3 linked regions of the Oryza sativa Japonica Group genome follow. The protein of the gene in region 2 interacts with the protein of the main gene of each other region in a pairwise test. Links are inferred from orthologs where the notes say so. Each region holds a gene or a part of one and is shown on either strand. Other genes may lie near its edges.

Region 1 (4,119 bases), about 2.5 Mb from region 2:
CAATTTTTTTAGGTTTGACCAGATTTATAGAAAATTTAGTAACATATATAACACCAAATTAGTCTCATTTTAATATAAATTAAATATGTTTGATTTTTGTGAGAAATATTGTTATATGTTTTTATAAATCTAGTCAAAATTAAAAAGAGTTTAACTATAAAATGTTTAAAATGACTTATATAATATGAAATAGATGGAGTACTAGTTTAATCCCTAACAACTGGCATCTTTTCCCCACCTACTAGTTTAGTTTTACTATTTTATTCTCGTAACCATCACTTATTGATTTTGTACTATGCATTGTCCTTTTGCCACTTCCTATATTATGGGAGGAAGGGAGTATCCCTTGGCCACAAAACCAGACATGAAGATTCCCCAACTGGTTCATTTGTCTCTCTGAGCAATTTAAATGGTCGTTTCATCCTGCAGGGCACGTTGACACAGTTTTCTCAATGTACCACCTCGGGTGGCATCACAATCAGAAAAAGAATAAAAAACAATAGGATCTAGTCATCGTCTTCCTCTACCTCTCCATTCATTCCATATCTCTTCCACTCTCCGCAGCCTTCCTCCTTCCTCCCTCTCCCATCTCTCTAGGGGAAGTGATGGTGAGTGCGGACCGTGTGTGCCGCTTAGTGTGCCTATTTGCCTTTATTTGCTGTTCATCCTCCGTGTGACTGTTATTACAGACGAGTATGGAGGTAGTATCGAGGAGGCCTGAGTGGACAGGATAATCCCAGCGATGTGGCAGAGCTCAAGCTATCCTACATGGTGGCAACAGTGTGTGGAAAAGATAGTGGCAGTGGAGACAATTGTCTCCAAGCCTCACCCCGGCGATGAATTCCCTTAAAGGGAAAATGAGACAGAGGATAGGGAATTCCTTATGTCCCCAATGACTTAGTTGCTCAGATCTAGGTGGCATCGAGACAGCGGTTTTTCACGGAGACGGTGATAACGTCCCGCAACTTCTCTTGCTTGAGAGGTGGGGACCGCTTGCCACTGCTAGGGAGAAGCCGTTGTCTCCGATCTACTCCAAAGAGGAGCTTGAGTTCCGCAGCACAAATCAACGTCGGTATTGTTGTTGTCGGAGAGAAGACACGAGGGAGAATGGCACGTTGGTCATGTTTTAGAGATTAAAGAGGGATTGTTTTCAGTGTCACTAGCATGTGGTTCAATTGGAGTTTTTTACTTTTACTCTTTTTTTTATTTTTCTGATTGTAATGTCGCGTAATTGCCATCATGAATGAAGACCAAATCAACGTGACACATAGTTGACGTGTTAGCTGAAACCGCCTTATAAACCAATAAGGAAGATAAATTGATCCGGGTTTCATAGTTGAGGGAGCACCTATATTTGATTTTACTATTGTAATTGGACTTGAACTATAGCTGAGAGAGGTGAAGTGGACTTTTTCCTGCTGAGATTAGCCAAGTTCACGTGCATTCGGCCCCGAGTCTGGCTCTGCTCATTTTTGGGGCTTTGGAATTGGAAAGGAAAGGAAAAAAATACACCGAAGGTCCCTCAACTTGTTATCGAGTTACGAAATCGTCCTCCAACTGTAAAACCGAATATCCGGCGTCCCTTAACTAATCAAAACCGGTCACAATAGATCCTTCGGTGGTTTTGTCCCTGGTTTTGTCCTACGTGGCGGCTGAGTCAGCGTGTGACCCACGTGGGCCCCACATGTCAGGAGCCCAGGTCATCTCACTTCCTTTCTCTTCCTCTCTCTCTCCCCTCACTCTTTTCTTCTCTTCTCTGGGATGGAGTTCATGGCACGGCGGACAACGGAGGTTGACTGTAGGCTGGTCCCACGCCGCGGCTCCGCCACACTCGCTCGACAGTCCACGCCGGCACGGTGTGTGCCTAAAGCCACCGCACCACCCGAGGCAGCTCAGGCGCGCCACCTCCTCCAGATCCACGCCCAGTTCGTTGCGTCCGGCCTCCTCGCCGACGCCTTCGCCACTAGCCGCCTCATCCTCTTCACCACCTCCACCCGCCTCCTCCCGCTCCCGTTCCACCACTCGCTCCGCCTCGCCCCGTCGTTCTGCGCAGCCCGAGCCAACGAGAGCGGCGAGCAACCGCTCGGGCAAAGCCCGCTCGAGGCCGAGCAGCAGCCGCCGCCGCAGCCGCGGGGAGGGGACGGAGGGAGCAAGGACGCCACCGCCGTCGCGCCACGTCCGGGCCTGGCAGGGAGGGAACGGGGAGAGCGAGGACGCCGTCGTCGTCACGCCGCGTCGGGGTCTGGTGGGGAGGGGACGGGGAGAACGAGGCTGCTGCCGTCGCGCCGCGTCGGGGCCTGGCGGGGAGGGAACGGGGAGAGCGAGGACGCCGCCGCCATCGCGCACGCAGCTCCATCGTTTCTCGTTCCCCAACCTCAGCTGGGGCAACCACCGCCTCCTCCGCTGCTCCAAGAACCCCGCCTCATCGCCTCCACCCGCGGTGCCGGACACCCCGTCGCCGGACAAGGAGAAGACCGCCCACAGCTCCACTGACGGCGTCGGCGTCGGCAGTTTGCCTCAGCGGGGTCCGCAACGGCCGTGGAACCTCCGCACCTGCCGCTCTGCCACCGCCGCACCGTGTCCAGAGGGATTGGACGATGCGGCTGATGCCGCGCTGGAGTGAGCGCCGCCGCCGCTGGCGACGACCAAGAAGCGGGTGTCCTCCAACGTGCTGTCCGAGGAGATCGCCCATGTCTTCAAGACGATAATAGGGGAAAGACAGAGGAATTGAGGGTGCCATGACGTGGCTACTCTGACATGTGGGGTCCACGTGGGTCCCATATTGATTCAGTTGCCACGTAGGACAAAACCGGGATCAAAACCGCTTGAGGATGTAAAGTGACCGGTTTCGAAAATTGAGGGATGTCATATATCTAATTTTATGGTTGGGGGACGATTTTGTAACTCGATGACAAGTTGAGGGACCTTCGGAGCACTTTTTCCAATTGGAAACCTAACCAAAAATATCACAAAGGGCCCATTTGGATTCACTGTTACGGTTTTACCATTGCCTGAACTGTACTCTCGTTGTTCAGTTTGGTAGTTGAGTTGACAGCGGGGATCCGCCGACGCCGCACACCGTCTTTTCCTGTGGCGACATGCATCGCACAGTGACGAGCCAGTCAGTACCCAGTACAGAAACCGCGCGGCTCACGGGGGAAAACCCACCAATCGCGACATCATCAACGACGCTGGTAAAAAACCCAGTACAAGTACACAACCTTCTCACATCGCAGGAGATCAACCAGACAACCAACCAGCCGGGCCAGCGCTCTACAGACTAGTACAGACTACAGAGATCGGCAAGGCTGCATGCTGGAACCAGAGACGCTGACGCCCCACTCCACCACCGATCGATCGCTGGTATCCGAGGGGGAGGTTTTGTCCGTCCCCTCGTCCCCCGCACTGTTCGCGCTCGCTCGCCCGCTGCTCTGCTCGTCTCTTCCACCATCAAATGATCACATGCTGTCCATCAACTCACCCCCGTCGTCTCGTGTGCGTGCAGCTTTCCCCCACGGCCTCCTGCTGCTGCCGACCCGACCCGACCTAGCGTCCCTCGCCATCGCGCGATCGTGAGAAAAATCGGGTGTTATTGTGTAGTAGAAAAAAAAACCGGTCCCGTCCTTTGATTCCCTCTGCCTGGGCGCCGCCCGCTACGGGACGCGAGAGCAGCTACCAGCAACCCGACAAACCGCACAGGCGGCCTCCCCCTCCCGCGCGCGCCAGCGTCCAACGCTAACGGCGACCCGCGCCTCTCTCACAGTGTCTCTCCCGCTAGCGTTATCATCATCAGCTGCGGGCTTGCTATGCTATGCTTGCTTGTTGCAGTGGTTTTGCCACGGAGAAGGGTCACCGGGAAATTATTGTTTAGGCTGACGTGATGCTCCAGGGAGTCCTGTCGCGAGCTCCCGGCGCCGACGCGGCAGCGATGAAGGCGAAGCGCGCGGCCGACGACGAGGAGGAAGGCGGCGAGCGGGAGCGCGCGCGTGGGAAGCGGCTGGCTGCTGAGGGGAAGCAAGGGTTAGTGGTGGTGAGTACGGGGGAGGAGGAGGAGGCGGCGGCGGAGACGCGTGGGCTGCGGCTGCTTAGTTTGTTGCTGAGGTGTGCGGAGGCGGTGGC
Region 2 (4,021 bases):
GAGACTCCCGGTCACTGCATCCTTCTTCCCCCCCCCCCCCCCCCCCCCTTTGCAATTTCCAAACAGCTTCCTGTTGTTTTGCTCTTCATGCTTTGCTTTGCTTTAGCTGTCAAACAAGAATCCTATCAACTCATCTCCACCCCCAATTTCTCACATGTGCTCATATCTTTTGATTAAAGAATTGGGCATGGGGTGACAAGTCTTGCCTTGTGCACCTTCCTTCGCAAAACCCTTATCTTCAGCTTGACAGTGCCATCCAACCTACCCCAGGCTGCCTCCTGTGCTGCCCTGTATCCCCTTTGCATGATGATAAAATATATAGCTACAAAACAGAAAAGATTCATAGGCAATCACTAATAATTGTGTTTGTGGAACATCAAATATTCCATTAGTTTGTAGTTTGTGTATGTAGTTATTATTTTATGCTAAATAATGAGGTTTGCATTTAAGAAAAAATGAAAACGCGTCAAGAAAAGGAAAAAAGAAAGTCCAAGAGCAAATTGACTCTGCAGGCACATATAATGGGGACCAAATAATGCAGACATATTGGAGGAGGACCAAGCCAATAAGCCATGTAACAGAAATCAACAATAGGAATATGAATTATATTCTGAATCCATTACAATCACTTTGCTTTGCATAGAGCAAGGCTAGAGCCAAGGACAAAGCCAGATGATCAGAATTTCAGAAGATACATATATGTTTCCTTTGCAATAACTTTTTACCTTAGCATGGCCATTTTCAGAGTCACCATGTGTTAACATGCCAAAACTTCTCTCAGGCTCTCGGCACTGGTCGTCAATGCTACTACCTTTTTCCTTTACATTCAGAACTATGTGACAAGTGAACAACATAGAAGCACGAACTAAAGAAAAAACACTAAAACATGGGGTATGAGAGAACATATATGATTTGGTACTCTAACGGCAAGCGCATTTCATATATTTTTGAAGAGCTTTGGTGAAGTTTCCATGCAACCTCATTGGCCGCGTTCTATGGGCTTCACGACGGCGTTCGGCCCTAGTCCGAGCCATGGCTGGCTCTCAGGCTCCTTCTTGACTGGGGTTGCATCTGAAGGAGAAGCCTGGTATGGCGTCTTTGCATTAAGACTGTGACAACAAAAGGCGCATATTAGATCCATGAACTGCAGTGATCAAAATACTGAACTTAAACATCATGCAAATCATCACAGCAAAACAACTTACCGATCCTTTCTCTTCTCAAGGAACCTGTGGAGTGATGCCTTCCTAGCAATAGGCATATCTACACAGAAAAAAAGAGGTCACTTGATAACTGCTACAACAAAATTCAACTGGTTATGCGTTCAATACCCCGACAGACATGAACATCAAGAAAGGGCAGAGTAATTACCAGAAGCATTCGCGCGAGCAGGCTTCTGAGCATCGGCCTGAGCTGTAGGCAAGCTACTGACCGGGGCCGGCACGGCCATAGGGGCCTTGGTGTTGTCTGTAACAGCTGCTGGTGCAGGTGCCGCGGCATTCTGAGGAGCCACCGGGCTGCCCTTGCTAGCCAGCTGCATCAAGCCCTTTGCCTTGTCGGCTGGGAAGTCGTTGAACACGAGCACCTTCCCACCATAGAAGATGGTCAGCTGACGCTTCTCAGGCTCTTGTTCCCTGAAATTCATTTGCACAGAGAACACTATGAACACCTGGGATACCAGTATATCACCCCTCCAATTCTGCACCATCTGACTAACTCTATTTTCACCGGCAAGCATAAAAAGGGTTCTTTTTGAAACTACGTTTTCAGTGCCCCAGTTTAAACAAAAAAAAAACCCTAAGTTTGGGGTTAAAATTTTCTATTAACAAAGATAGGTAAAGTTTTTATAGATCCATTAACAACTCCCTGAAGTCTGAATGACCTAGTAACTCTGCTTGCCTAATTCCAATTAGTATCTGAACCCAAAGCAAAAAACAACAAAATGTTTACTCATAACCCTCTCTCCCCTCAACTAGATTTGATACCAAAAACAGTGGCTTCAACCTATTGAGGCACTTACAGCTAAGTTTTGTAGACTGCAAAATTTGTCATTTCTCTGCGTGATTCCAAGAACTAGGACACACACACACATACACCTAAGGAGCAGGAACTGCACAAAAATGAAGCAGAGAACCAAGTGGCATGGCCCCATACCTAGCATCAGCAGCAGAATCGGCGGTGATGGCATCCTGCTGGCCAAAGCCGGCGCTCTGCGGGAAGAGCTCCATGGTCTCCTTCTTCCTCTCCGCCTCCCCGGGCAGCAAGCTCATCGTCGCCGGCGCCGCCCTCGGAGCCTCACCCTCACCTGGAACCGAACCAAAACCCCAAACCTTGTGATCAGATCTCAACACGAAACCGAAGCTGAAGATGAAGATCCAACCAAGCCGAAGCACACCCACAAAAAAAGGGATGAGTTCTTTTTTTTTTCCCTTCTCCTCCTCACCTCTGATGCCGAGGCCGAGCTCGGCGGCGGCGGCGCCGTTCTGGCGGACGTAGCGGCTGAGCAGGCTGCACGCCATGGCGAAGCTCGTCGCCCTCTCCCCGCCGACGCCGACGGGCCTCGCGGAAGCCGCCATCTCTCCAAGCTCCCTTCCTAACTACCCGGCGTCGATCCAATCTCTCCTCCCCGCCGCTCGCCGCGCCGTTCTTGCTGCACCACCCCGGCTCGTCGTCGCCTCGCCGCCGTCCAGCTACCTCCGATTCCTCCTCTCGCCTTCCTGCCGCTGCTGCTAGTGGTTGAGCTGCGAGAGCGAGAGCTAGAGAGAGAGAGGCTCGTGCGCGAGCGTTTATAAGCAAGGAGAGGAGACGGAGACGACGCAGCCGCTGCGGTTTCTGGTCACCACTCAATTCGATTCAATTTAACCTCGCGGATTTTCTTTCTTCCCATTTTTTTCTTCTCCTAATTACCTACTTCCTCCCTCCAAAAAAAACAAACCCTATATATTTTCGTGTCCAACTTTAACTGTCCGTCTTGTATGAAATTTTTTTATAATTCTTTTAAATAAAAAAATATTATTAATATTTTATGTGTGACTTGTCTTTTTAATTTTTTTCATAATTTTTTTAAATAAGACGGACGGTCAAACGTTGGGCATGGAAGCCAGGGTGTCTTTTTTTTTTGGGACGGAGGGAGTACTCCGTACTGGAATAAGTTAATCTAACACAATGTGACATATTGTAGTAATACAAATATGTCTAAATTTATAGTATTATTACGATATGTTTATCCCATAATTTAATTTGGAATGGAGAAAATAGTTGCTCTCTTCGTTCCAAAATACTACTTATAAATTACCTTTTACCTTATCTCAATTATTACCACTGGATTCATCTCTATCCAACTTTGTTATTATATCATAATAAGAGTACTACGTTTTAGAACGAAGGGAGTTACATCTGTTCTAGAAATATACTCCCCCTGTCTCATAATATAGCAACCAATGATGAACACCATCAATCATTGGTTGTTATATTCTGAGACAGATGGAGTAAATAATTATAAAATAGATAGATGATGAACACCATCAATCATTGGTTGTTATATTCTGAGACAGATGGAGTAAATAATTATAAAATAGATAGATGGTACCCTAGCGTCTTAAAAAAAATTCAATTCTAGCTACGAATTTAGACACGTATGTAAGCTACGAATATATGCGTGTCTAGATTCGTAGCTAAAGTTTATCTTTTTTTAGACATAGTAGTAGGTATTAAGAAAGTAAGTAAAATTTATTGGAGAAATATTATGATTTGTTGAGATAAAAAATAAGATGAATGAAATAAATGGACGAGGGTTGTGAACTTTGTGATGGGTTAGAAGGATATTGATGGATAAATAGGTTTACTATAGAAGAATATTTTGTTATTACAAGTAACTGTATTTTGGAACGGAGTAACAGATTTCTTCTTTTAAATATTATTTTATTCAATTCGGTATCATTTCGCGGGCTGGGGGGGACGATGCGAGTACTAAATGCGCGGATTCCGCACGTGGTTCGTGTGCGGAGCGAGGGGGTGGTGG
Region 3 (4,372 bases), on a different chromosome or scaffold from region 2:
TACATCTGGCTGATAAACCTCCATTACCTTTTTGATGATGCACTGGAACAGATCACGAAAGGTATCATCATCAATGCCATCACTCAGGGGCACATTTAAAGCATAATGTTTTCCTTCGCCTGCTCCAACATCAGTGATATGCCCAGTACCAGGGAAAAAGTCCCCATACTTGTGAAAGGAACAAGTCATGACTCGATTCGTAGTGAAGAAAGCTTCCTCCACGCCATCTCCATGGTGGACATCAATGTCTACATATAGCACACGCTACAACAAAAGAAGAATGATAACTATCAGAAAAATTAGGTAGCCATAGGACTGTTGTAGCAGCAGCAATATTCAATAGCATCAGAGAAGTGCAGTTGTGGTTTAGAAAGCCAAGATGAAATTCTTGATGTATTCCACAATCAACACACTAAAGCTTGATGAAACATGGATCACGATGCTGAATAAGTTTGCAACACATGCCTTCCAAATTTTATTAAGCCTGGTGATTAAAAAATTTAAAAGATATGTTCAGGACTTATTATATTGGAAAGTACGGTATCTAAAACAGTTCTCCAGGAATGGTAAATAATTACTCCCTCCGTTTCAGGTTATAAGACGTTTTGACTTTGTCAAAGTCAAACTGCTTTAAGTTTGACCAAGTTTGTAGAAAAAAGTAGTAACATTTTCAACCCAAGACAAACTTGTTATGAAAATATATTCAATTATTGATTTGATGAAACTAATTTAGTATTATAAATATTACTATATTTTTCTATAAACTTAGTCAAACTTAAAACAGTTTGACTTTGACCAAAGTCAAAACATCATATAACCTTAAATGGAGGGAGTAGTACTAAATGAATTACAAGTGAAAGGTACACATATAGATCATGATATTTCAGCAGCAACATTTATTGTAAATAGATGCGAATAATTACATTAAAGCCAGTCATATGAGCAACAAACTGGATGAAGTATCTGTGAAAGTAATACTGGACTGAGTTACTGATAAATGGTCAGAAAACAATCAACAGATGGTTCCAAAAAGTCCAAATCACAAAGATTAATGCTGCATGCATATCAAAAAGAAAATGTTGTCTAGCAGTAAAGTAACCAACACAACTATATCACCAGCAATACCACATATTCCAAAACAATCCATGCATATAAAAATTCCATTTAGGATATACATGTTAGTTCACATCACAGAAAAAAAATATTCTTGCTAACAATGGATGAATGGACCATTAAAGATACATCCCAGTAAGATTGGCCATATTAACCATTTCACATCACATCTATGTCACCTTCTTTTCAGTTAAAACTAATGCCAATACCTAATAATCAAATCAGATAAACAACTTACTGACAGAAAAAGTAACCATATGAACAGTAATATCACACACTCAATAAATATACAAACTAGTTAAAATTTAGCTGCAAAATCACTAGGAATGTGGCTGCAAAGCTGATTTATAAAAGAAAAGATGATAACTACTTTATTCGGTCACACAGTTTTTTTGGGTGTTGTTAAGGCTTCTAACATGCAGCCTTGAGCTGATTTGTGTTCGAACATATTTTGTACATCCCAACCAAGTTATAATATTCTGAAAGCATTTTTAAATTTTTATAGACAACTCAACCAGCTGTATTTAATGTTGATCAATCTAACTATCTAAGCATTCACAAATAAAATGTTGGACAACATTAAGACAATAACCATGCCCATAATGTCACTAGTAACATAAGCAACCTCCGCTCATAAAAACTCAGCAAAATCCCCAAAATGCACCATTTGTTTCAAACTTCCTCAAATATGTCGGGCCAGGTAAAAACATAGAAATCATTCATATATCTAAATCCAATGAAAACAAACAATTAACACTGAAAGCAAATATGGAATCCTATTGCAAGATTAAACAAACACACGAGCATGAACGCGTGCATGCACTCACAGAAAGAGATAGAGCCCTTTAAATTTCTACAATCACCTAATCAGGCATCCGAACAATAGTAATTTCTCCTCGCAGTGTTGGAAGTCAAACCACCAAATCCCTCCCCAAGTCTTAGCATCTTCTTCACCACGCACTAAAAAATAAAAACTAAACCGAAACACAAACCCAATGCACTCAAATATTCGCGTCCATCAGCGGGAACCATTCCAATTCGCATCTAAATTTAGACAACGACCTCCAAATCGTAATGCCCCTCCTCCTCCTCCGATCACAGGACAGGTACACAACACAACCAAGGCAAGCATCCCAACAAAACAAAGGCATACCCTGTGGAACTTGAGGAGCTCGAGGATGGCGAGGACGATGTCGTTGACGTAGCAGAAGCCGGAGGCCTCGCCCTTCTTGGCGTGGTGGAGGCCCCCCGCCCAGTTGACGGTGATGTCGGCGTCGCCGCGGTTGAGCTTGACGGCGGCGCCGATGCTGCCCCCCGCGGAGGCCTGGCAGAAGGGGAAGAGGCCGTCGAAGACCGGGCAGTCCTCGCCGACGTTGAAGCGCTTGACGGCGCGGGCGTCGAGCAGGGCGGGGTTCCCGGTGGCGGAGGCGAGGAAGGCGACGTAGTCGTCGGAGTGGAAGCGGCGGATGTCGGCGTCGGAGGCCGGGTAGGGGCGGGAGAGCTCGAGGAGGCGGTGGAGGCCGTAGTGGACCACCAGCGAGTGCGCCATGCGGATGCGATGGGGCTTCATCGGGTGCCCCTGCCCGTAGTAGTAGTCCCCGATCGACGGCTCGTAGAAGTAGCTCACCCGCCGCCGCCGCCCGTCCTCCCCTCCCGCCGCCGACGCCAGCGACGCCCCCTCGCCGGACGCCGCCATTTCGGAGGATTTCTTCTTCTCTTTTCTTTTTTTTTTCCCCTTTTTTCCCCTTGTGGGAAGGGAAGGACCTTCTCTCTGCCTTGTGGTTTCCGGGGGTTTATAGCCAAGGCAAGGAGACGGGAGGGACAGAGGGATTCAGTTTTTCCCTTCTTTTTTTCCTTTTCACCCTACACGTCATAGAATTTATAGGTTTTCTGCATTGGTTATTTTTCGACATTTTGCATTAACTTTTTTTTTGAAAAAATGGCATATTATTGTAATTTTTACCTTTTTATTCAAAATATAAGGATTTTTGGGTTTCATAGTTTTCATCATTTTAATGATTTCAAAGCTAATAGATGTCGGGTAGAGAATCTATCTAGAAATACTTATATTTTTTTACAGGAAACACTTTATATTTCGGAACGGATGAGTATATGATAGGATTTTTACAATGGTGAATAGTGGTAGTGAAATAATCCTGGGTTGGACTAAAACTAATCGCAATAGTTAGGAGGACCAAAATTTTATTTTCTTACTTGTTTGGAAAATAGATGATGAAATTCTTTTTTATGCCGAAATAGCCATATGTTTCTCTTGCAAAGGAAGCATTGCTTTAAACCCATACAATTTAATGCAAGCGTTACTTGTAGAGATGTTTGCAATATAATCTTTTGACTTTTAGTAATATAATATGTGATGTTACCGTTGGTCGAGGATGACCAATATGTCCTCGAGCAATGTGTTTTTTCTCGTGGTAGTGTTTGCCATTGCAGTTTGTTGGAGGCTAACTAGGAAAGAAATTTTGCAGTTGTTTAGTGAAATAAGGCACACGAAGAAAAAAATGTAGGAAGTGATGAGAGAATTTGGCCATTAGTTCCCATTATAGAAACTAAAACATAATCAGTAGAAATAGACAGTGAATAAATAGGTAAGAAAAGAGATGTTAGAAAACAGCTCGAAGATATTATCACCTACTTTACTTGACATGTTGGTAAAATAAACATAAATGTTCCTTATGGTATACTATATATGTATGCAAAGAGTTGTCTGGTGAAGGAAACATATGAAGTTGCAAACCATCAAGTATAATACCATTTCCTTCCGCAAACAAATGGCATGCATCATTAATACATGAAAAGAATAAAACATTAATATTTAGTATGTAAAAAATGATATTTATAAATTTGTTATGAAAAATACTCACATACTCCCTTCATCCAAAGAAACCAACCTAGTACCGGATGTAACACATCGTAGGACTACAAATCTGGACATACATATATCCAGATTTATAGTATTAGAATATGTCACATATGGTTTTAGATTCGTTTTTTATGTAACGGAGGGAGTATACAAATATGCATGTCGTCCTACTTGCATCACATATTATGCTTTTTTTACAACAATAAGTTATTAGTACTAGTAGAGAATTAATGCATAACAACCATTGCTTGAACTATGGTGTACTTGTAGAATGTAAGGTTCAACCAGAAATTATAAATGTAAGAGGAGCATATAATTTTATAAAAGTGCTTGGAAAATATTGAAGGTATTCTACTTTAATGAAACAACAATTTGTTT

What was found.
Region 1: the proteins of protein TIFY 10b (region 2) and scarecrow-like protein 23 interact in binary tests that used the Arabidopsis thaliana proteins (3 or more experiments, as listed by UniProt). The link is inferred for Oryza sativa Japonica Group from reciprocal best matches to the Arabidopsis thaliana genes JAZ1 and AT5G41920.
Region 3: the proteins of protein TIFY 10b (region 2) and histone deacetylase 6 interact in binary tests that used the Arabidopsis thaliana proteins (3 or more experiments, as listed by UniProt). The link is inferred for Oryza sativa Japonica Group from reciprocal best matches to the Arabidopsis thaliana genes JAZ1 and HDA6.

Annotation. Positions count from the first base shown.
Region 1 is NC_089041.1:23,033,328-23,037,446, forward strand, and holds the start of scarecrow-like protein 23, read left to right. Parts: upstream 1-1,285; 5' UTR 1,286-3,880; coding exon 3,881-4,119. UniProt on the Arabidopsis thaliana protein: Probable transcription factor involved in plant development.
Region 2 is NC_089041.1:25,571,897-25,575,917, reverse strand, and holds protein TIFY 10b, read right to left. Parts: upstream 2,835-4,021; 5' UTR 2,577-2,834; coding exon 2,444-2,576; intron 2,306-2,443; coding exon 2,155-2,305; intron 1,635-2,154; coding exon 1,372-1,634; intron 1,264-1,371; coding exon 1,206-1,263; intron 1,110-1,205; coding exon 980-1,109; 3' UTR 574-979; downstream 1-573.
Region 3 is NC_089042.1:15,629,450-15,633,821, reverse strand, and holds the start of histone deacetylase 6, read right to left. Parts: upstream 2,882-4,372; 5' UTR 2,810-2,881; coding exon 2,267-2,809; intron 265-2,266; coding exon 1-264. UniProt on the Arabidopsis thaliana protein: Responsible for the deacetylation of lysine residues on the N-terminal part of the core histones (H2A, H2B, H3 and H4). Might remove acetyl residues only from specific targets, such as rDNA repeats or complex transgenes.